Linked DNA regions of Nothobranchius furzeri. The protein of the gene in region 2 interacts with the protein of the main gene of each other region in a biochemical or structural test. Links are inferred from orthologs where the notes say so. Each region holds a gene or a part of one and is shown on either strand. Other genes may lie near its edges.

What was found.
Region 1: the proteins of esr1 (region 2) and ncoa7b form a complex in vitro, tested with the Homo sapiens proteins (2 studies listed by BioGRID). The link is inferred for Nothobranchius furzeri from reciprocal best matches to the Homo sapiens genes ESR1 and NCOA7.
Region 3: the proteins of esr1 (region 2) and cebpb form a complex in vitro, tested with the Homo sapiens proteins (2 studies listed by BioGRID and IntAct). The link is inferred for Nothobranchius furzeri from reciprocal best matches to the Homo sapiens genes ESR1 and CEBPB.
Region 4: the proteins of esr1 (region 2) and grip1 form a complex in vitro, tested with the Homo sapiens proteins (2 studies listed by BioGRID and IntAct). The link is inferred for Nothobranchius furzeri from reciprocal best matches to the Homo sapiens genes ESR1 and GRIP1.
Region 5: the proteins of esr1 (region 2) and nr0b2a form a complex in vitro, tested with the Homo sapiens proteins (2 studies listed by BioGRID). The link is inferred for Nothobranchius furzeri from reciprocal best matches to the Homo sapiens genes ESR1 and NR0B2.
Region 6: the proteins of esr1 (region 2) and tbp form a complex in vitro, tested with the Homo sapiens proteins (2 studies listed by BioGRID). The link is inferred for Nothobranchius furzeri from reciprocal best matches to the Homo sapiens genes ESR1 and TBP.

Annotation. Positions count from the first base shown.
Region 1 is NC_091742.1:4,412,591-4,416,857, forward strand, and holds the start of ncoa7b (nuclear receptor coactivator 7), read right to left. Parts: upstream 2,801-4,267; 5' UTR 2,671-2,800; exon of another isoform or gene 2,545-2,670; intron 1,906-2,544; exon of another isoform or gene 1,904-1,905; 5' UTR 1,812-1,903; coding exon 1,774-1,811; intron 1-1,773. UniProt on the Homo sapiens protein: Enhances the transcriptional activities of several nuclear receptors. Involved in the coactivation of different nuclear receptors, such as ESR1, THRB, PPARG and RARA.
Region 2 is NC_091742.1:2,865,243-2,869,414, reverse strand, and holds the start of esr1 (estrogen receptor), read left to right. Parts: upstream 1-1,372; 5' UTR 1,373-1,497; coding exon 1,498-1,508; intron 1,509-1,937; exon of another isoform or gene 1,938-2,088; intron 2,089-2,177; coding exon 2,178-2,603; intron 2,604-4,008; coding exon 4,009-4,172.
Region 3 is NC_091755.1:52,069,630-52,072,564, reverse strand, and holds cebpb (CCAAT/enhancer-binding protein beta), read left to right. Parts: upstream 1-1,163; 5' UTR 1,164-1,327; coding exon 1,328-2,203; 3' UTR 2,204-2,435; downstream 2,436-2,935. UniProt on the Homo sapiens protein: Important transcription factor regulating the expression of genes involved in immune and inflammatory responses. Also plays a significant role in adipogenesis, as well as in the gluconeogenic pathway, liver regeneration, and hematopoiesis.
Region 4 is NC_091741.1:34,258,608-34,262,107, forward strand, and holds part of grip1 (glutamate receptor-interacting protein 1), read right to left. Parts: intron 3,464-3,500; coding exon 3,388-3,463; intron 3,302-3,387; coding exon 3,156-3,301; intron 2,997-3,155; coding exon 2,849-2,996; intron 2,529-2,848; coding exon 2,359-2,528; intron 1,237-2,358; coding exon 1,099-1,236; intron 975-1,098; coding exon 825-974; intron 721-824; coding exon 534-720; intron 1-533. UniProt on the Homo sapiens protein: May play a role as a localized scaffold for the assembly of a multiprotein signaling complex and as mediator of the trafficking of its binding partners at specific subcellular location in neurons.
Region 5 is NC_091745.1:40,694,475-40,697,736, reverse strand, and holds nr0b2a (nuclear receptor subfamily 0 group B member 2a), read right to left. Parts: upstream 2,028-3,262; 5' UTR 1,589-2,027; coding exon 1,054-1,588; intron 969-1,053; coding exon 703-968; 3' UTR 501-702; downstream 1-500. UniProt on the Homo sapiens protein: Transcriptional regulator that acts as a negative regulator of receptor-dependent signaling pathways. Specifically inhibits transactivation of the nuclear receptor with which it interacts.
Region 6 is NC_091749.1:35,004,844-35,008,203, reverse strand, and holds the end of tbp (TATA-box-binding protein), read right to left. Parts: intron 1,991-3,360; coding exon 1,896-1,990; intron 1,695-1,895; coding exon 1,615-1,694; 3' UTR 501-1,614; downstream 1-500. UniProt on the Homo sapiens protein: The TFIID basal transcription factor complex plays a major role in the initiation of RNA polymerase II (Pol II)-dependent transcription.

The DNA.
Region 1 (4,267 bases), about 1.5 Mb from region 2:
CGACCCGGGGCGACCCGCCCCGCCGGGGACCCAACAGAGCCCAGGGACCCAGATCCCACCAGACAGCCACCGGGATCATTCAGGCAGACGCTAAAAATCTTAAACCCCCTGACCCGGGAGCCGCGAATACTCAGGCAGACCACGGCACCACACTCCACACCAGGTGTGACAGGGAAAAGGGAGGCGAAGACGTATAGCAGCAAAAGAAGTCCCAGGAAAAGAGAGGAGTCAAAGGCCCCACCTGACATATACAGTCATACACTCCCTCCCTCATGCACACACACACACATACAACCAAAGACTCACAAAAATGCACACCAGACACCCACTCACACTCCCCATACACACCCTATTCACTCTGGTCACGGTACTGCTGCACAAGGGGTACAACCATCACCGGTTCCCAGAGTTCGACCTGGGGTGCTGATGAGCAGGCTCCCCCGCCCAATGCCGAGCACAGCGACCCACTACCCACACCCCAGCCAGACGGCCAGATCCCCCTCCTAGCCTCCAGAGGTGTGCTAAGACCCCTAGTCACCCTCCGCCTGCTCCAATACAGTGTTGGTGCATGTTGATGAGGTGTATTCGTGGCTGTGGTGAGCGGGCAGTACAGGCATATTCTGGCCTATGCCAGCTGATGCCACCACACCACCCCTCTTCCCCCCACAACCCTCTGTGTCTAAGTGCTGTTTAAAATTGAAAGTGGGCACCGGCACTTGCGATGAGGCTGAGAAATCCCCTTGCCAAATGCCGTTGTATGCGCTTATTCCCAAGGCCCTAAGTGTGTGTTTGCGTGGAATGTCGTTGGTGGAAGTGTTTAATGTGCAAATAAAATTGGGGGGCAGGCTGCCACAGGAATGCGGAAATGGGGTCCACACCCACACCCCCTGACTTGTCCACCCCCCAAAGTCCTATGTGCATGATTGTGTGATGATGTGAGGGAGCAGGAGGAGAGAAATGTGTGGGGATGGGGAGGAATGGCTGGTTGGCCTAAGCCCTCCACCCACAACCTACTTGTTGGAATTTTATATTTTTATTCATTTTTGTTTAATTATATGTATATTATATGTTCAATTTAATTTATGTCAGTGTGCCCCAGGGCTAGCCTTGTGAACTGGACTAAATTCTTGCTTTGCAAAGTTAATTACAGCGAACTAAAACTATAAATAATACATTTATTTAGTCTGGCTTGCCAGACTACCCCAGGGCAGCTGTGGCTACATAGCAGTTAATCACCACCAGGCTGTGAATGCGTGTGTGTGTGAATGAATGAATGAATGACACATTGTTAATAATGAGAGAGAGAGAGGAGAGAGAGAGAGAGAGAGAGAGAGAGAGAGAGAGAGAGAGAGAGAGAGAGAGAGAGAGAGAGAGAGAGAGAGAGAGAGAGAGAGAGAGAGAGAGAGAGAGAGAAACCAGATGTGGACAATGAGGGCAGCTAGAGTCCATCTGATTAGCCAAATGATTTATTCATAAACATGACATTGGGAAAATAACAGTAACTTACAGCTCCGCAAGCAGCCCTTTGACACCACTTTGCATTGACACTGCAACAATTTTTGAAAATACGGGCATCGTTTTAAATACTTAAATTGAAAATGATGAGTCTGGTGATAAAAACATCAACTCTGAATTTGATTCAGTGGAAAATGGGAAAAACTAAAGAAAATTGTCAGATGCAGGTTATGCTGAAAATCGACCATTCCAGTCACCAGACAAATTTTCTGCGTATCTCTAAAAAAACTGCAAACATGCAAACAAAATCCGCCTTACCTGTCAAAATATCCTTGCTTTCTCTCTCTCTTTTCCATCTGGGCAGGGCTCTATTTCTGCATGCAGTTAGAGTTGGTGCATCCCTACTAACAGAGACAACCCTCCTCAGATCTCACACCTCTGTCTCATCCTGTAAATGAAAGAAGGAAGGAAATTAGAAAGCTCTCTGCGTGTCTCCTCACTCCACAGCACTCAGTGGGCTGCAAAAAAAAAAGCCAATAACAGATCCATCAGTCCCTTAGCATAAGTGGAGGGCGATGAAAGCATCCTATAATAATCACGTCACGTTAGTCAGCTGAAAATAAAAAGGTGGAAACGCTCTAGTTACAAAAACATCTGCTCCTGGTTTCCACAGTAAGCATGTGGTTTATTATGTAATGCAGCGGTCAGTTTGTCCATTATTATTAGCATTGGATCCAATTCTGTAAACAGTCCATTTTAAGCAATGCACTTCTAATGAGCTTAACTTTATCTTTGAGTAGCCTTGAATGCTAGATATCTAGCCGCTGTTACGTGTAAATTTCACTGTCTATTATGGTCATTTCTAGCCTCTTCGCCCATCTTTAGCTGTTGTCCTTTACGAAGCAGAAGGGGCAACACAAACCCAGCTGTACTAATGTATAATTTATCAGAGCCACGGCAAACAAAAGCATATCGAACAAGGTCCAATCGTCTTCCAGCTGACAAGAAAACTGTGCTAACGGTGCTACAGCTAGCCACTTTGTTTACACAGACAATAACAACCTGGTGTTGGTAAGAAACAACCCTTACGGTCAGAACGCGCTTCCTAACCATGAGACGTTCTAGCTGTCCGGCTTAGCGGCGACGCCTTATTTATCTGCAACAACGCTGCGAAACGCTCAACCTGACATGAGAAACAGGTAGCTGCTCACATACCTAGCGAGCATCTTCGAGTTGCTACATGAAAACCAACGAAGGTTCCTCCCCTCGCTACGCCCCCTGGTGTCATGTGCTCGGTAAAACACGGACAGGCTGATGTTTTCTTTTCTTTTAACCTCCAGCGGACGACGCGGCGGTGTTACCTTGTTTCTGCTAATGCGCAAACATATAAGTCATGTTGAACATACAGCAACAAAACAAACACATAAATAAATAAAAAATATTCATTGATTTTATAAAAATATAATACATATCACCTGAAGCTTACAGTGTCCCTGGTGGTCTAGTGGTTAGGATTTGGCGCTCTCACCGCCGCGGCCCGGGTTCGATTCCCGGTCAGGGAACTTGCTTTTGCACTGGATTTAATTCATGTCTGGATACGCGTTTTATTTTGATCCTTGTTCCTAATAAAACGGTTCAATGGTTACATACCTTTATTTCTTTCAACAAAATAACGTCAATTTGATTACTCTGATTGTTTTGCAAGGGTACTTAAACTTTGTTAATTAAACAACCCAATTATTACAGTTCCTTTTGTGCTTTCAAGCTGGTTTTCACAAACCTGCGTTAAAGGGATTTGTTTAGAAAATGTGTAAAGAGATCCAAAATTAATTAAAAAGCAAAAATTAGAGTAGCATATCATAAAAAGCTGCACGTTGGTGCAGTTGTTAGCACTGTGTTTGCATGTTCGGAACTCGGCTGTGGCCTTTCTGCGTAGAGTTGCATGTTCTCCCCATGCATGCGTGCGTTTCGTCCGGGTTTTCCGGTTTCCCCTACAGATCACAGCATGTCCTACAAGTTAAAAATTGTACGTTGCTTTGGATAAAAGCGTCTGCCAAATAAATAAACATACAAAGGTTTCAATTCAAATATACTTTATTGTTGTTGTTAATAAACATAAATCACACCAAATAAATAATTTACATTAGTTTTTAATAATTTTATATTTTGCTGTTTTTTTTCTTGGACATTTAGGAGGCCTCTTACATCACTTAACCCCAGAAGTTAGGTACTTCATTATCTTACCATGATGAAGCGGGAGTTACCAACTATTACCACTAGGCGGCGACATTTCTTTATAAATGAAAGTTTCCTACAGGAAGTTGAGGTTGTATGATTAAAGCAGAATTTAGCCTTGAAAAGATATGCATCAGGATATTTTGTCTTTAGCAGCAGCTTAAAAATGTCTTCTGAATGGGTAGAAATGTTGAAATAAATTACACCCGTTGCTTTAATTCACAAGTTCACAAATACACCTATATATTTGACTTTATTAGCCTTGTTTGGCTTTAAATATAATGACTTTTAAAATCTATTTGATAAAAGTCTAACATAGAGAGAGTTAAAGAGAACAGTTAGATAATGGAAAAAGTCAAAGCCTGCTGATTGGACGACCTACAAGTTAACCGGTTCCTCACTGGCTGTGTATCTTGGCAGTTATTTTGACAAGCGCTATCACTAAGAGAAAGGAGATAAGTTGTCTTAGGGATCGCCATGGCGCCTGTATGTCGCTCTTCTGGCCTCTGCCCCCTCCTCTCCTTACCCCAGGAGCAAAGGAGAGGGTGGCTTGGTTGGGACCAGGATCTGGGTTGGC
Region 2 (4,172 bases):
CTCAGTGCCAGTGATAGGAATGCATCAAAACGAGAAAACCTCGGCTTAAATCAAGCGAACTAGCGCTGCATTATGACCAGTTCCTCTGTTTACGGGATGGTAAAGTGTTATGGGGGGCAGTGCAACAATAACGGCGACAACATTCGTCCTGTTTGGTGTGAAAGTGGAACCAGACCTCTTTTACTTCATAGATAAAACTGGAAGCTTATGTGCACACAGTTCTGTCAACTCAATGAAACCTGTCCTTTTTAAATTGGTGGTGATTACTGGGTTTTTGGGTGCATGGAGCAAATTGTGTTGTTTGCAAAACTAAATAAATAACTGCAGTGAATGGACCTTATCCCACATTGTCATGCTTTTTACAGAAGACGGATGGGAACCATGAATACTGGATTTGTCAAATCCAGTTTTTGAAAACTGGATCAAGATTTTTGCCAACACTTGATTGTTTTGATGAAGATCAGGAACAGGCTCCATCTAGGAGCTGAAATTTGCACCAAAAAGTCACAAAATGCTGCAACGTTCTGGATGAGCTACAAAAAAAATTCAGGCTTTGTCATGGTGGTCCTTCAGGAAAATGGAGTCATTTACTGCCGGAAGCTTCCTATCTTGTGCCATTTAGGCGATTTGCTGCAGCCGTTTCTCACCCTTGGCTTTTGCTGTTTCCCACCATCTTAATTTTATTTCAGGAGAAATGCAGAATGCTACGTAAATCATCAGAGCCACTTGTTTTCCACTTGACCTGACATCTCCTGAAGATGATGCTGTGAAGTCAAGAAAAGGTGAAGATGAAAGAAAGCTCCGTGCCCCAGTTATTTTGGTCTTTTCCAGTGGTTGCTGCAACTCGTCTGCTTTTGTAGCATCTATGCTCGCTTTATCTTGTTCCCTAAACTTAAAAGAACATTATTTCTAATTTGACGGCTGAGCCTATTTGGGATTTGATTAAAGTATCTAAACTTTTTCTGAGTATTTGCTGCCTTGATGTCTTTTCCCCAACATCCCAGGACATCAAAGGTCCCTGATGGTCCCAAACCTGAAACTTTTGCACTGCACAAACAAAAACTGTCCCCTCGCATCTTTGCACAAATCCTTTTTAATCTGCTGCTGATGATTCATTATGACGCAACACCAACCTGTAGAACCAGAAAAATCCTTCCATTTCCTGCAGTTTCATTCTAAACTTCACAGAAAGATCACTTAGATTGTGCATCTATTGTAAAAAACATCCATCTACACCCTTATTTGGACTTGGTTGCATAATTATTGTCCGTCAGAATGAGATTTGACCTCCCGCTTTGTTTGCTGTGTTATGGTGACCTGGCTCCTAAACGCACCATGGCTATTGATTTGGCTGCATCTTTAATTTGTTTATCCGTTTTTAAACCTTTCCACTGTTCCCAGCGAGTCCGACGAGCCCATCTAGATGCCTGTGAGGCAGGCAGAGAGGAAGGGAGAAGGAAATCAGCCGCCGTTGCGCAGCATATCTGAGGATGATTCATGTGTGAGAGGTGAGTGGAGTCTCATGCAGGATTTTTTTTATTGTTTTTTAGCTCGTGAGTTGTGAAGCTGTTTACTTTTATCCCGTTTTCACAGCGATCGGCTGCCGTGCATCAGGTGGATTTAGTCATTAGGCTGCAAATAGAGCGGGGATCTTTGCTGTGCGCTCAGGATCATCTAAATGAAGGAAGAATATTCAGAGATAGTCGTGCTGCTATAGAGTTTCCTCCTGTCTGGCATCCAGATGCAGCCGCTAAAAGCTATTTAATGCAAAGGTGAAGTGGAAATGGCCATGTGGAGGAGAGGAGACGGGGAAGTTATTTGGGAATCACTATTTCTGTCATTCCTTCTTGTCTTTTCCTCTCTCCCACCAGCTTTCCCTGACTCCCACACTTTAAAGGAAAAGAGGGAAACACTACACTCAGGAAAAAAATAACGAAGTGGATTGGGAGGAGTCTTTTTTTTAGAGCCTGTTGAGCAGAACCTGAAGGCAGACAGAGCAAAAGAGGACTCAGAGGTCTCTCCAAGTTGCTTGACAGGAGTTCTAGGAGAGACGAGATCCAGAGAGAGAAAGAAGAGAGGAAGGAGAGGGTGAGCAGTACTCCTCTCTCCCACCCAACAAATGGGAGAGCGGGTCTAAATCATGTTGCTTATCAGTGCTGTTGTGCTGTGATGTTCAGGCAGAGCCCGCTGCAGAGCAGGAAGCAGTTTGGACCAGCGCTCCGAACCAGGATCAGCCCAGCCTCCTCAGAGCTGGAGACCCTCTCCCCACCTCGGCTCTCACCCTCGCCCCGTGCCCTCCTCAGCGACATGTACCCTGAAGAGAGCCGAGGCTCTGGAGGGGTCGCCGCTGTGGACTTCCTAGAGGGGACGTACGACTACGCCGCCCCCACCCCTGCCCCAACTCCTCTTTACAGCAGCTCCACCACAGGGTACTACTCTGCTCCTCTGGACGCCCATGGACCTCCGTCTGATGGCAGCCTGCAGTCTCTGGGGAGTGGGCCAACCAGTCCTCTGGTGTTTGTGCCCACCAGTCCAAGACTCAGCCCCTTTATGCACCCTCCCGGTCACCACTATCTGGAAGCTGCTTCAACTCCCATCTACAGGTATGAGATTTGAATTTAAACGAGCGTGCACCACTCGTTAATCACTGATGGTGAGCACAGGCTGGAGCAGGACTTGATAGAACTGCTAAGATCAAGTCAATCTAAAATGTCAGATGAGTTTAGTCAATTATTAATAAAGACTTTAGGAGGCCATTTCATAAAAAATATATTTAAAAAATACTTATTTGGGTGTATTTCCCCAATTTTTTTCATGGTTTCATTTTGATGCAAATTACTGCTGCATAATTATACACTTTATTTCTAATTTACCACAAAAAAATCACAAGAAAGTTAAATGAAAAACTGCTTTTAGACATTTTGTTTTACAGGTGAAACTCAAAAAATTAGAATATCGTGCTCAAGCCCATTTATTTCTGTGATCCATCTTAGACTGAGAGACCATCTAAAGGCCCAGGAACCCTGTGCAGATGTTTATGATTCATTAGCTGATTAGAGTGTGACACTTTGAGCTTAGAATATGGAACATTTTCACAATATTCCGATTGTCTTGAGATTTTGAATTCGGGGCTTTTTATAAGCTGTACACCACAATCATCCCAATTATAACAAAGAAAGGCTTAAAATATCTGGCTTTGCATAGAATGAGTCCATCTCATTTATTAGTTTCACCTTTTAAGTCAAGTTACTGAAATAAATAAACTTTTGCTTGATATTCTAATTTTCAGAGTTTCACCTGTATTTTTAGTCTAAGAAAAAAAACATTCTTATGTAATGAGGTAAATATTCTTTGATTTATTCACTAGTTAATATAATGATAAATTCATATTTTTTGCACTCAAAATAAGAAAACTTGGTCATATTTAAGAATATTAAACTTTTTTCAATTAGTTTTGTTTTTGCAGATAACGTTTTTTTACATAAATAAGAAAAAATGTTCAAAATCAAGACTTTTTTTTAGCTTTTTTGAAAATCACTTTTTGCAGTGTATAGCATTGGCGGTTTGGTTGAGTCGTTAAAACGCCTTAAAACAAAACATAATTAAATAATCGCAGAGCTTTTTATCTCTAGCTTCAAACAAAACAGCACTATTATCTCTCTGTAAAGGATCAAGCGCTGTCCGGGTTTCTAATTCCAGAGATTAAGGACTTGGTAAAGGACCTTGAGAGAGGAACAATACGTAAGAACAACACAAGTGCACATGCAGTCTCAGGTGGAAAACACGAGGCCTCTGTCATTTTTAAAGTCACTATGCAAAGGTTCACCTCTCATCTGGAATGGATTTAATGGCTCTAAACACTTTTAAAAATGACAAAACTGGTATTTGTTCTGCATAATCGTCTAAACATTGCTTTTTATCCTCATATGCTAATAAAAAACTGTTATTTATAGTGTTTTATGAGTACCGCAGTTTAATCAACAAATTAAAATTCATGACTCGTTGCAGATCCAGTCACCAGCCAGCCTCCAGAGAGGACCAGTGTGACGCCCGTGACGAGGCATTCAGTGTGGGGGAGTTAGGAGCCGGAGCTGGGGGGTTTGAGATGGCCAAAGAGACACGTTTCTGTGCCGTGTGCAGCGACTACGCCTCTGGGTACCACTATGGGGTGT
Region 3 (2,935 bases), on a different chromosome or scaffold from region 2:
TGTGTGGGTTGCAGACTCCATCTCATGCTACTACTAGAGTGAAAGCATTCAAAAGTGACCAAAACATCATCCATCATCCAGAAAGCAGAGGAACTGAGAAGTAGTCTGTGGTCACCACCTGCAGAACCATTCGTTTTTTGTTTGCCTATAAATTCCACCTGTTGTCTTTTCTGTTTGCACAACAGCAGTGAAACTGCTTCTCAGTCACTGTCACTGGAGTTACATCGTGTTGTTTAAGTGTTCCTTTTATTATTGTTGAGCAGTGAACTTATATATAGATTTACATATCTGGATTTTTACACATATTTAAAATGTTAATACTTAGTAATTGTTGCATTGGTGATTTTGTAAACAAAAGTCTTTCGTTGAGTTTTATCAAGTTTATCAGATTCTAGCTTCTACTGCAGCCAGAATTAAGGACTTGAGGAGAGCTTGTGTCAGATCTCATTTTTTGTCGAGGCAGCAGATTTTTCAAGACCCACAAAGCAATCACAGACATCTTCTAGGGCACATATAAGTCTTTCGCCTTAAACCAGACAGACTGGCTTCCTCTGACGCCCACCCTGGCCTTTGTACAGATTTAGACATGCATCATGAGGAGGTCCACTGCACTTTAATTGGCACGTATATATGCTGGAAGTTGTGGGGCACCAGATTTCTAAATGAAATGAGTCTGTGGCTGCTTTGAACATCAGTGATGTTGTTACTATAAACTTTAAAAAGATAAACACGTTGGGTTTTTTTCCAGACGCGTGCAGCAGGGGGCGCGCTTGCATGACGGTGTAAACTGGAATTTTATTTTTTACTTTTTATTTGACTTCTGATATCAGCTCCCATTCATCAGCCAAAGCTGCTTTTCTCCTTTTTGTTCTGCTGCTAGAATTTTATTATAGCCTTCATCTGGTGCGCACGTACATAAAAACTAAAGCAAGTTTTATTTTGTTGTTCGGTGTTTTATTGTTGTTGTTTTGTTTTGTTTGTTTGTTTGTTTGTTTCATCGTGACAAAATACTTTAAATAGCATGCGGACGGGAAAGAATCTTCTCCGCACGGTACAGGTCGGTTCTGCTCTGCGTGACACACCTGCCAAGTTAAGCCCCGCCCCCACCCCTAATAAAACCCCTCCTGAGACAGGAAGATCTGTCAATTCCTCCCAATCCAAGAGCTCCCGCGTAGTAGGAGCTGCGTGTTTCTACGGGTAGTGACCGAGGAGGTTTAAACTCTCTGCATTCCGACGCATTTCACAACTGAGGCAGGAAAACCAGAACCAGCCAGGGCGTCCCACCTCAGCCCGACGTGCTCCTGCACTCCAGCGGGTGTTGAGATCCATGGAAGTGGCCGGCTTGTACGAGGAGGGCAGCTTTGCTATCCACGGTAGAGACGGCTTCATCGGACCCATAGGCGGAGGCTCTTACTGGAGGCTGGGCGACTCGATGACGGAGCTGGGTCTGGGGGAGCGGGAGAGAGCCATAGACTTCAGCGTTTACCTGGACTCCGCTTTGCACTGCCCGCAGCTGGCGGCGCACACGCAGCAGCAGGGGGACGCCTTCTCTGATTTCCTCGGGGAGAACAAGATCAAAAGACTCGCAGCTTTCCAGAACTATAAGAATTACTCGCTGCTGAGCGAGCTGGAGGCGAGCCAGTGCGAGGGTGCGAGGGAGCCCAGGGATCCGTACGCGCTGGGTTACCCCGAGCTGCAGGAGACCCGTGTGGACAGCGTTCTCAGCCCGGATCTGGTGGCCAGCCGTTACCGAGCCGCCGCTTCCACCGAGAGAGAAGACAGTCCGGAAGACGCAAAGATGGAGAACGGGTCATCTGGGTTTGACATGAGGTCCTACCTTCATTACCAATCCACCAGCGGAAGTATTGGAAACATCTCCACTGCGTCCTCGACCTGCTCCAGCCCGCCTGGCACACCTGCCCCGTCAGGTAAAAGCAGGTCACCGTCGCACGGTGGAAAGTCGTCTGGCGGGAAGGCGAAGAAGCGCCTGGACAAGGACAGTGAAGAGTACCGGCTGAGGAGGGAGAGGAACAACCTGGCAGTGAGGAAGAGCAGGGACAAAGCCAAGATGCGCAACTTGGAGACGCAACACAAAGTGCTGGAACTGGCTGCGGAGAACGATCGTCTACAGAAACGCGTGGAGCAGCTGTCCAGAGAGCTGGCCACCCTGCGCAACCTGCTCTCCGCCACCGGACAATGTTAGAACTCCCCACCTCCATCCCCCGGGGATACCGCACGGATCTCCCCCCGGATCCCCGCGCTGCTTGCCTGACAGACTTAACGGCGCAAGAGGCGACCCACTGTGCTGAAAACGGTACTCTGTAAACAGACCGCCAGTTTACATGGACACTTTGAATGAGACTGAACAAGTGGCTGCATGGATTGCGCAACCATTACGCGACTTTTCACTTGTCCTCATAGCTTTATTCTCAGATGTAATTTTAGTGTATGCAGTATTTCTGTGCAGGTTTTACATTACCAGTGAATTTCTACATTTTGTGTACACTGTATCTGCAGCAATGGCTGTCAGGGGAAGAGTTGTGCTGCAGTGAAATGATGCAACTCTTTGTAATAGTATTGGCAATGAATGAAATAGTCTAATTATTTAATATTAAAAGGTGAAATGCTTTAATTGTTCTTGATATTTTATTGAATTAAAGAGATTTATACTTTGTTTAAACTATTTCACTTCCCTTTTCTTCTTTTTTTGTCCCTTTCACCATGGATCGTGCATCGTTCACCGTCATCATAGACTGTGTAATACCATGTTTTGGGGTTACGACACACTGCAGATAAGAAATCACCTCGATGATAAGCAGAATGTGCACATTTAAATGTCAGGCTATGGTGAAATCAAACAAAGCACCATGAGATTTTTCTCTTTGGAACAGCTAATTTAGAAAATAGTCACATGGGCCCACACAAAACATCACTC
Region 4 (3,500 bases), on a different chromosome or scaffold from region 2:
ATGCCGGTTTGCACACATTACACTCCCTCTGCTGTTTGTTTAGAATATCAAATTACAGACATTTTCTCTCTTAAGGCGACAGCCATGCTCTGTTAGCTAGCTGCTGTGTGTTATGTGTGTGAACTCCCGGTCTACCTTAAACTTTACGGTATCGTTTGTGACACAAAGAGCACTGATGGAGAGGATCTAAGCCGTCGTTTTTCCGTTAGAAAATCTCTTTCTCCGGACGAATTTAAACGTTTGTTGTTTTAAGCGGTTAAATCCAGTTGTCCCCTCCGATTCCAACCTGTTTAAAATCACACGGTTGGACTCGATTTCCGATCGTGTGATTGTGTCGGAGCGTCCCTGGTAAAAACTGCTGAAATGTGCAAATAAACAAGTACAAAAAGTTCCACCTAATGAAGTGAAGTTAATCTAGAGTTCTCTATTCAACAAAAACATTATCTGGCTCCAGATTTTCATATTTACAGAAAAGGTTCTCCGTCTGTCAGAAACACGAAAGCACCCAAACGTCCTTCCCGTCTCCATCTCACCTCTCAGCAGGACTGTCCGGGTCAATGTAGGCGATGAGCGGCGGGGATGACAGCGTTTCTGTGGCAAACACTCCACCCTGGAGCTGCAGGCCGAACCCCATGATGCCGTCTCCTAGCAACATCACCTCGGTGGTTTCTGTGTGGACCACCTGACCGGCGAGACCCACGGTGCTGGACGCCAGAGATACTGATGGGAGAATTTTAACGACATTTAATTACAAACAGACTCAGTTTCTGTTTGCTCCCGCTCGTGGGCTAATACAGTTTTATTCAAAACGTGGATAGACTCACAGGAGCTCTTGAACTCCTTCTTCTTAGCCTTCCTCCTCATCATCGTGCTGCGTGGACTTGTGGGATACATGTTCCTGGGCAGGGTGCTCATGTTGAGGGACGAGAGACTGTAGGCAGACATGGAGCCGGGAGAGAACGAGTGGCTAAGGGCTGGGGAGAGAGAGGGAGAGAGGGAGAGAGGGAGAGAGAGAGAGAGAGAGAGAGAGAGAGGGAGAGATTTAGTCAAACTCTCTTGCCCCTTATTTAAAGAAGCAGAGAAGCGGGGCGGACGTACGAGGGTTGTTTGTATGGCGGCTGTGCGATCTGCCACCTGATTGGTCGGGGTGATAGGTGTTGTAGTGGTAGGGGGGGAGGATGGGGGTGGAGCCTCCGGTTTCCCAGGGGAGGGGGCGGGGACTACGTTGCACCTTGACTGCACACACGCACACACACACACGCACACACACGCACGCACACACACACACACACACACACACACACACACACACACACACGCACGCACGCACGCACGCACACACACACACACACACACACACACACACACAGGAGGATGTTCAGGTTCAGACAAGAGGAGCAGGCAGAGGTCAAAGGTCAGGAGGTTCTGCAGCAGTACAAAGAAGTTTGATTAGAACCACGTTTCCTAAGATGGTCAACAAGATAATTCCTGAACAAGTCCTCCGGTCCACGATCAGGTGTAGAAGGAAGCATCGTTCAGGTCCTTAACTCTGTTTCAGTATCAGACTTTTAGACTCCTTTCATCTACTAGGAAACCGTTTATCTGAATGACCCAGAGGTCAGAGTTAAATAGAATGACTCTGCAGGTCACAGGTCTCTCAATAAGATGTTTGCATTCATGTCGACTTGTGGAATAAAAGCCATTCTTTGTCTCCTCTAACAGAAAGTCGTGGTGCATTTAAGGCCTCCTCAATGTCAAGAGTTTGTTTAGGATCCATTAAATTTGACGTCTTTATGTTCCCATCATACTGGAGGACATTTGAGTCCAGCAGAGATGTACATGTAGGGGAGCGAGTTATAAATCTGTCAGCTCACCAACATCTCCGTCCAGAACCAACTAATCTCTCCTACAGGTGGTTTCTGTCTGCTTAATTAACAGCAAAGCAGTAAAACATAAGTTATGTAAAAAAGGTCCCAAAAGATCTGTAAACAGAAAACAAAACAGACATGTGGTGGTGCGTTCAGGGCCTGCTGTGTTTTAATACTGAGCTGTGGTGCGTTCAGGGCCTGCTGTGTTTTAATACTGAGCTGTGGTGCGTTCAGGGCCTGCTGTGTTTTAACACTGAGCTGTGGTGCGTTCAGGGCCTGCTGTGTTTTAACACTGAGCTGTGGTGCGTTCAGGGCCTGCTGTGTTTTAATACTGAGCTGTGGTGCGTTCAGGGCCTGCTGTGTGTTACTATCGAGCTGTGGTGCATTCAGGGCCTGCTGTGTGTTAATACTGAGCTGTGGTGCGTTCAGGACCTGCTGTGTGTTAATATTGAGCTGTGGTGCATTCAGGAGCTGCTGTGTATTAATATACCGTGCTGTGGTGCATTCAGGGCCGGCCGGGCCTGGTGCTGAGGCAGGATCTCCATACGGACGGTCTGACAGGAAGCGGAGAGCAGCTGAGTGGCTTCAGCCAGGGAACAGAATTCCATGGACTTCCCGTCGACAGACAGGATGTGGTCTCCTGCATGAAGAGCGCCGCACCTACACACAAACACTCATGTTCACCAGAAGGTGGAAGCTAAAACCCATAAAAACCTGCAAACTGGAGGAACGTTGTGCCCATCGAGTGAAGCGAGTCATGAAAGCATCAAGGCAATCAAGAAGAACGTCTGTAACTGACTCTGAGACAAACGCAAAAGACCCCATCAGCGCTATGATTCCTTCAGATAAACACAGCAGAAGGTCAGATCTGTTCAGCAAACATTAAATTATTCAGATGTCTGAGAAAATAATCCGTTTACTGAGAAAAAGGTTTATCATCAAATAAAGAAATGAAAGTTCTGCCAAGCGGGCCGTGGTACCTGTCCGCTATACTGGCTGGTTTGACTTTGTCGATGACGATGACCTGCTTACTGCAGAACACGGAGGTGGACAAGGCCACACCCAGACTGGAACCCGTTGGCTTGGCAACCTCAACCAGCAGGGGCCCCGACGCCGTAGCAACCGAGTCTACGGAGAAAAAACAGCGAGTGTAACGTGTTTCTGAATCTAGTTTAATTCCCTCATCCTGGTGTTCCACAGGGCTTTGTCTTTGGGTGCACTACTTTTAATAACTGAACTACCTCTTCATTAATTTTGTTCATTTGGTTTTAATCGGACTAAACTGACCCATCACGGACACGTCATACTCGATCAGCAGCGTGGCCTCCTGGCCGCACTGCTTCAGGATGCTCATGGCCTCAGACAGCGTGCTGCCATGGAGACGAATCCCATCGATGCTCAGCAGTCGATCACCCGGCTTCACGGTTCCTTCTCTATAGAAACAAAGTTGCTTTCAGTTTGTATGGAAGCTCAAAAGGGTCAAAAATGTCTGAACAGGAGTGAATGGAAGAGGCAGCACCTGTCAGCTGGCCCGCCCGGCCTGATGGTTGTTATGACGATGGGGCGGGTCTTGTTCCTGTCCTCGTACGCTCCGCCTGCGCAGGTAGTCACACGATGTGTTTGTTTTGGATT
Region 5 (3,262 bases), on a different chromosome or scaffold from region 2:
ACGCGTAACCCCATTTCCACCGGCTCACCGCCCCCACCAGCACATTCCTGTTTTACCTGTACGAGTTGTCATGTAAAGACAGGGTTTCACAACTAACATACCACAAAGTAGGATGACTAAGCCTGATTTCTCAAATAACTACATGCAGACAGTGTTTTTTTATACTGCGCTGAGTTTAGCGTTCGTGCCATTCTGTCCCTTTTTGTGACGATGGGGTGGGGGGATCTTGATGCTGTGGTTTTGTGAGAAATGCAAAAGTAAGAAAATATTTGCCGCTAGTCTTCTGAGAAAAAAAAACTTCCACCAAACGTCCTCTAGAGGGAGACACAGCACAGCAGTACAGGCAGAAAAAAGGTTTTCTGTTCCATTTGAAGCCACAAATGTGTGTTTTCATTCTAATTTTAGATTCTCTCCTTTAACGCGCAGGCTTACGCTTGACTTTCTGAAAAGTTTGCTGAGCACAACATGTAATGGAGGATGGATCCACGGATCGGACTCAGTCGTGTACAAAAATATATTTATTCAAGTTTTCTGGAAATGCAGATGCTTATTTACAGCAGAGGAGCTCATCGACACGTAGGATCAAAACTCAAAAACCTCTCAGGAGTTCTGCTCAGACGGTGAAGTGACCTCAGCTTCAGCGGACGAAAGTCAAAACCCTAGTGTGCTTTATAGAAGCCTCTAAAGCACGCTGCATGGAGGTCACCATCCCGAGGACCACCCCTCCCATCGGCTGAAGAGCATGTCGACCAGCAGCTCCAGCAGGTTGGCCTGGCCTATCACAGGCCTGAAGAAGAGTTCGGTGATGAGGCTGGGTGTGATGCCCTGCAGCATGGAGGCTGTGAGGAGGATCCGAGCAAAGCGCTCCTGGTTGCCAGGGTGAAGCAGCTGGACCACCTCGCTCAGGGCGTGCTGAGCTTCCTGCTGCAAGCCTTCGACAAACAGGCCTGCCTTCAAATCTGGTACATCTGTTTGAGAGAAAACCAGAATTGTTGCTTGACAAACGAGTCCTTGGATTATCTGTTGTCTGAATCCAGTTAACGCAGTACATACCTGGATTAAATATCGTGGTCCCTTTCAGGTAAGCGTACTCCTTTGGGCTCACATCTAGACTCCAGAACTTTTTGAGACACGACTTGAGTTTGCTGATGCCTGCCATGGTTGGCTGCTCCCGCTCTGTTTCAGGGCTCTCCTGGCAGTTCAGGAGAATCTTCTTCAGCATGCTGTCAGCAGGGACGTCCGCCACCTCAAAGTCCACGCGCTCCTGGGCCAAACCCAAAATAAAAAGTGGCACCCAGCTGCTTTTAAGTAGTGCAAACTGGTCACTGGGTGGCAGCTGGTTAAACGCTGGCAAGTTCTTCATGAAGTGGACGGTTTTCACCAGAACTGCAGACGCCTCTTTGCAGACCACAGACGGCCTTTTTAAGCACACTCTCCGCCGCGTCTCACAGTTGCATCTGTGAGGAACGGAACTGTGGCTGGAGGTGTCTGGAGTCGGTCTACCGCTGTCCATCTGGCTCAAGATGTTGTAGAGGATCGGGTTTAACTGCCTTTGTTTGTTAGCGGAACACTGGCATCTGTTATCCATCTTTCTTCGATGCGGCTGCTCCTCTGAACCTCTTCTCTGCCACGACGGGCTCCGTCTGAGCTTCTGAGAGCTGCTGCTTCCTCCAGTCTTATTTATAAGGCCAACCCTCCCTTCTTAGTGGACCTTGAAATGTCAATACACCCAATGTGAAAAACAACCGCGCGCTCTGCCAGGTGACTGCTGGAATAACCCTGGGAAACAGATAAGCTTTTCTCATTGAGAAGTAGCTGCTGGAGTCACACATGGATATCAAGTGGGATTGGCCTTATCTGGAAGGCAGTGTCATCAACCCAGGCAGTACCAAGCTACCAAGGACTGCAGAGGTAATCAGCCCCACGCTGTGTCACTGCACCCGCCAGCTCACACCTGTAGTGCTGGAAGGAGGCCAGACCACAAAGGAGGCCGTTGACCTTCACATCGTGTTCTCATCAAACGTAGTTTAGTTTAGACAAACGTTTCCAAACCGGGAACAGTGGGAATTATGCTTCAATTTTAGGGAAACAGTAGTAGTAGCATAAAACCACCAAATAATTCCCGACCACAGCTGCAGTTCTCCGCTCCCCACGGGGATGGGTCAAATGCGGAGATGAATTTCAACAGTGTGTGATGACTAAAGGAACTATTGAAATGATTCCAAATGACTTCGGGAAGAATATAAAACAAGTTCATCGCTGTAGCGAGCCCCCTAGGGGCAAGTTGCATTGATAGCTTAACCTGTAACTCTGGGGTGGGAACAAACGGTAAAATGTACACTTAATGCATCTAATCCTCAGAAGTCCCAAAGCATACTTCAACCTTATAACCACTTCACCTACTAACCTTTAAAATCGGACCGGCTAGCAGCAACGCGACTCTACCACTGACTCTGTTTGCTCTTCAACGTTGATGTTTTCTCTCCACAAATAACACGAGCCTGGAGGAGGTCTGCTGTGTGGTGGAGTTGCTTGTGCTAACGTTAGCTTCTACTACCTCTCTGCTGTTTCCTGGATGCTAAGCCAACAACAGCCGCGAGTCAAGGAGGGTGAGTCCATGAATGTTAGGTGACAGCGTGGCGTAGATCTGTCAGGCTTTTCAAATCCTAGGTGTAGGAGACTATTTTCATGTTCAGCATGAACGAAACACTCGGAGACCGATTATAATCAGAAATAATAATTAAAACTTTTTTTCAGTGTTCCACACCGTTAATGGATATCCATCAAGATTTGCGTTTTAATTCTGCCTTTTCGATCTTTAACACGATTATTACACAGAAGATTAAAAGGTTGTTTGTGTGATCGTAAGGGTCGTGTGTAAGACCAGTTTTTCATTTGAAACATGCACAGAAGTGTTTGTTAGTGATCTGGAACGTAATTAACCCGTTTTACAAATGTCTGCTTCTATAGTTTCTTTGTTTGCATTTGCTTTTGCCCAGTTCCTGAGTAACAGCTGCATTTACGTAGAAGTTTTTGAACATGTTTATTTTGCTGTCAACACATTTGAAATGAAATGAGGCATTCTAACTGCAGATGTTCCGTTTGTGAGACAAACTTATCTAAAAAAGCATCTTGATCAAAAAAGAAATAGTGTTATTGTTTTTACAAATGTTACATTCTCTTGTTGTTGGCCATTTCACAACTAATCTCAATAATGTACATGTTTTTCTTCAGTTCAGATTATTTATATAGCTCCTAACTC
Region 6 (3,360 bases), on a different chromosome or scaffold from region 2:
AACGTGTCCTGGGTCGACCCGGGGGCCTCCTGCCGGCAGGACATGCCGAAGCACCTCCCCAAGGAGGCGTCCAGGAAGCATCCTGACCAGAAGCCCATACCACCCTTGTTCTTAAAATTTAATGATTTTGACATGTCAGTTCCAACATAATCACCTACAAATGATTCTCTTTTGACTGATGTTACATGGGAGACAATCCTGACTTGTCTTTTTTATGATGGGTATCAAATAAGCCACAATTCCTTTTGTAAGAATGATTGTATTGTTTAATACACAAATTACTTTATTTCAGATATTCAGAGAAATTATGTATTTTCTGCAGCTCTAACATCCAACTACAACATGTTTTAACTCTTACCCAGAGGTTTTCCCTAAACTATTTCTATACAGGGATTCAGTATTTTAGTCTTCACAGTTTATTTCTTCATGGTGACTTTTGGTTTTACGCAAGAGACTTCAGCTGTAAAATGTTGCTGCAAAGAAAACCAAGTAGACTTGAGTCATATGTACACTTTTATTGGGTGGAAAAGAAAACAATGGACCAAACTTCTTCGAGTCTGCTGGGAGGACAGAAATCAGACAGAAGAGACAAAGATGGAGACTGAACATGTCACTAAATAAACCAGACTTTTAACTAGTTGCCATAAACGTCACTAGCTGACCGTATAACACATAAGACCACCAGCAATGACTTCAATGTGATCCTACTTGAGTTTTAATTTTAGACAAAGGCCAAACAGCCAAAATTCTGCTGATTTGAAACAACCAAAAACATTTTTAAAACTATACTGCATGGGTTTGAAATTAATATTAATCATAAGAGCTTTTTTTCCCTTATATCAATATTGAGCCTACTGAAATCCCGCTGAAGAGCTGCATCGACTTTAAGATTGGCATCACTTCTCATTCTAATTACAGAAGAACATATACACACATTCAAGTTTAACCATTAAACACTTTCTTCCTGTAACCACAACAAACCAGTTCTCTCTTTCAACAGAAAGATTGTTTCACGACTTCAACCAGACAAAGTCGAAAGTTATCAAACGCCTCTAAACAACTTAACTGTTTAGCAGCAGCAAACATTCATGGACAACTTGGCCAGTCAAATAAAGATTAGCTCAGCTTGAGTTAATGGGCGTCTACTCCCAATGAGTGTAAAAAAAAAGTCATTAATCAGGATTATTTTCTACCTTAAGGGAGTAAGCATAGGATTTAAAATCCCAAGTATCATGTACAGCAGGGGATTTAAAGAGAGGTCAACAAATGCTAACAGCTGAGAGTATAAAAGTATTTAAAACAGCTTCACATAAAACCAGCAGTCCTAGTCGTCGAACTGCTTTTCTGCTCAACAACACTTTACATTTTTTACAGTCATATGTACAGTTGGGGATGAGATGGGACAACAAAAACCTGCAACCACAGGACACAATAAACATGGTCAGAGTGAAAGAACAACCTTTAAAATGATGATTAAAAAAATTGAAGACAGAAAGATGGATGAAAAAACTCCCAACACCTGCATCAGTCTACCTTCTCATTAAAAATGTGACATTAAATAATGAATGAAATAAGAGGATCAGGTTTCAGGAGGTGGAAAAGAAACCCCAGGTCCTACGTCGTTTTGCGGAAACCTTTCAGAATGGGGTAAATGTTTTCAAATGCTTCGTAAATCTCTGATCTCACTTTGGCCCCTTCAGGAAAAACAAAAAAGATTGAAACATGGATCAGTATCAAGATGAATCTAGAAAACTTACAGAATCTCTTGTTCTATTTTAAATAAAAAAATTACAATCCTTTCAAAATAAAAGGAGATCCAAAACAATGTGCCAAATTATTAGGTGATACTTTAACTAGAATCTAAAAATACACCCGTCTGAGAGCTCGGGCCTTACCTGTGAGCACTACTTTCCCAGAAACAAAGATGAGCAAGACGATTCTGGGTTTGATCATTCTGTAAATCAGTCCTGGAAACAGCTCCGGTTCATAGCTACAAAACACAAGTTAGACTTTCACAATTATATGAATTTTAAATTAAAAAAATGTACCATTTTTAATTAAATCTTTGCAAACATTAGCGATGCTCAGATCAGGTTTTTTGCTGCTTATGGATTGGCCATAAATGTATCAATGCTGTTATTATACTTGCTACATGATCTGGAATAAAGGAGCAATAATATTGCCCAATTTTGACAAAATCATTTTACAAAATACAAGACTTGTCAGTGTGTTTCTGACCAGAACTTATAAGCCTTCTACTATTTTCAGTTCAACTCAAGATGATCATGTCCAGGATGACAGAGAAGCTTCCCCTTGTGCTTAGGGCTGTAGCGAAGCCTCGACTACGTCGACGGCTCGATTCTAAAAATTTGTCGACGTCAGATCCGGAAGTCGACGCACCGCGCCCACTTGTTGCATCCCCAGGAGTTTGTAAATAGAGGAGGAATCTGCCTGTTTTTCCTCTAGTTCGCCCTCTTCTCCGCCTTCACTAACATCTCCGCCAAATACCGAAGACCCGGAACAATGTCCGTCCACTACTAGATTATTTTCCTGTTTTGCCCGCCTTCGTCTCCCGGCAACGGACAACAACTTCCGGGGTCAGATGCGCTGCTCCGTCTCTATCGCAGATGTAGAAAATCACCGGGAGCGTTTCTCCCTTCATAAAGGAGCTTCTTTCAGACATTAGGAGAGCTGTTTTGGTGGTAGCAGTCTCTCCTCCGTGCTGGTCTGTTTGCTGCTGGGTGTTTTGGTTTATTTAAACTTGGTAACTTGAACTTAACGTTGGTAAAGCTACTGTTAGCATCTTCGCTAACAGCTTCTTGCGTTGGGATAAGCTGTTACGTTTTGGTTTAGAGTTAATCTTTTTTGTGGTGTAGATCTCCCTTTTATTACATTTAGAGTGTTGTGGGTTTTCGGTTTAGTGTAAAATATCACCTTGAGTTTGGTTTAACCCGTAAGACCACTCGCCTCACGCACATAAGTGACCAAAACAAAGCAGCGTGGAGACACTCCATCTTCTACCACCTCTCAGGCAGCAGCCTGCACTCCCAAGTTCTACACGTCACCAGAACATAACCAACCGCAACACAATAAAAGCAGTGTTATACAAAATGGAAGGCCTGTAGTGTTTATTCTCTTACAGTAACAATTTATCAATTTTTTTGAGGAATTTATTTGAGATTTTCTGGTTTTTGTTAATTGTGCAATAGAAAAATAATCATTAGATTAATTTTCTAAATAGTCATTAGAATAGTCGACTATTCGATAAAATAATCGTCAGAATAATCGTTTTAAAAATAATCGTTTACCCCCAGCCCTACTTGTGCTGTATTTTTGTTACAGGATGCAAAGTTTAGATCA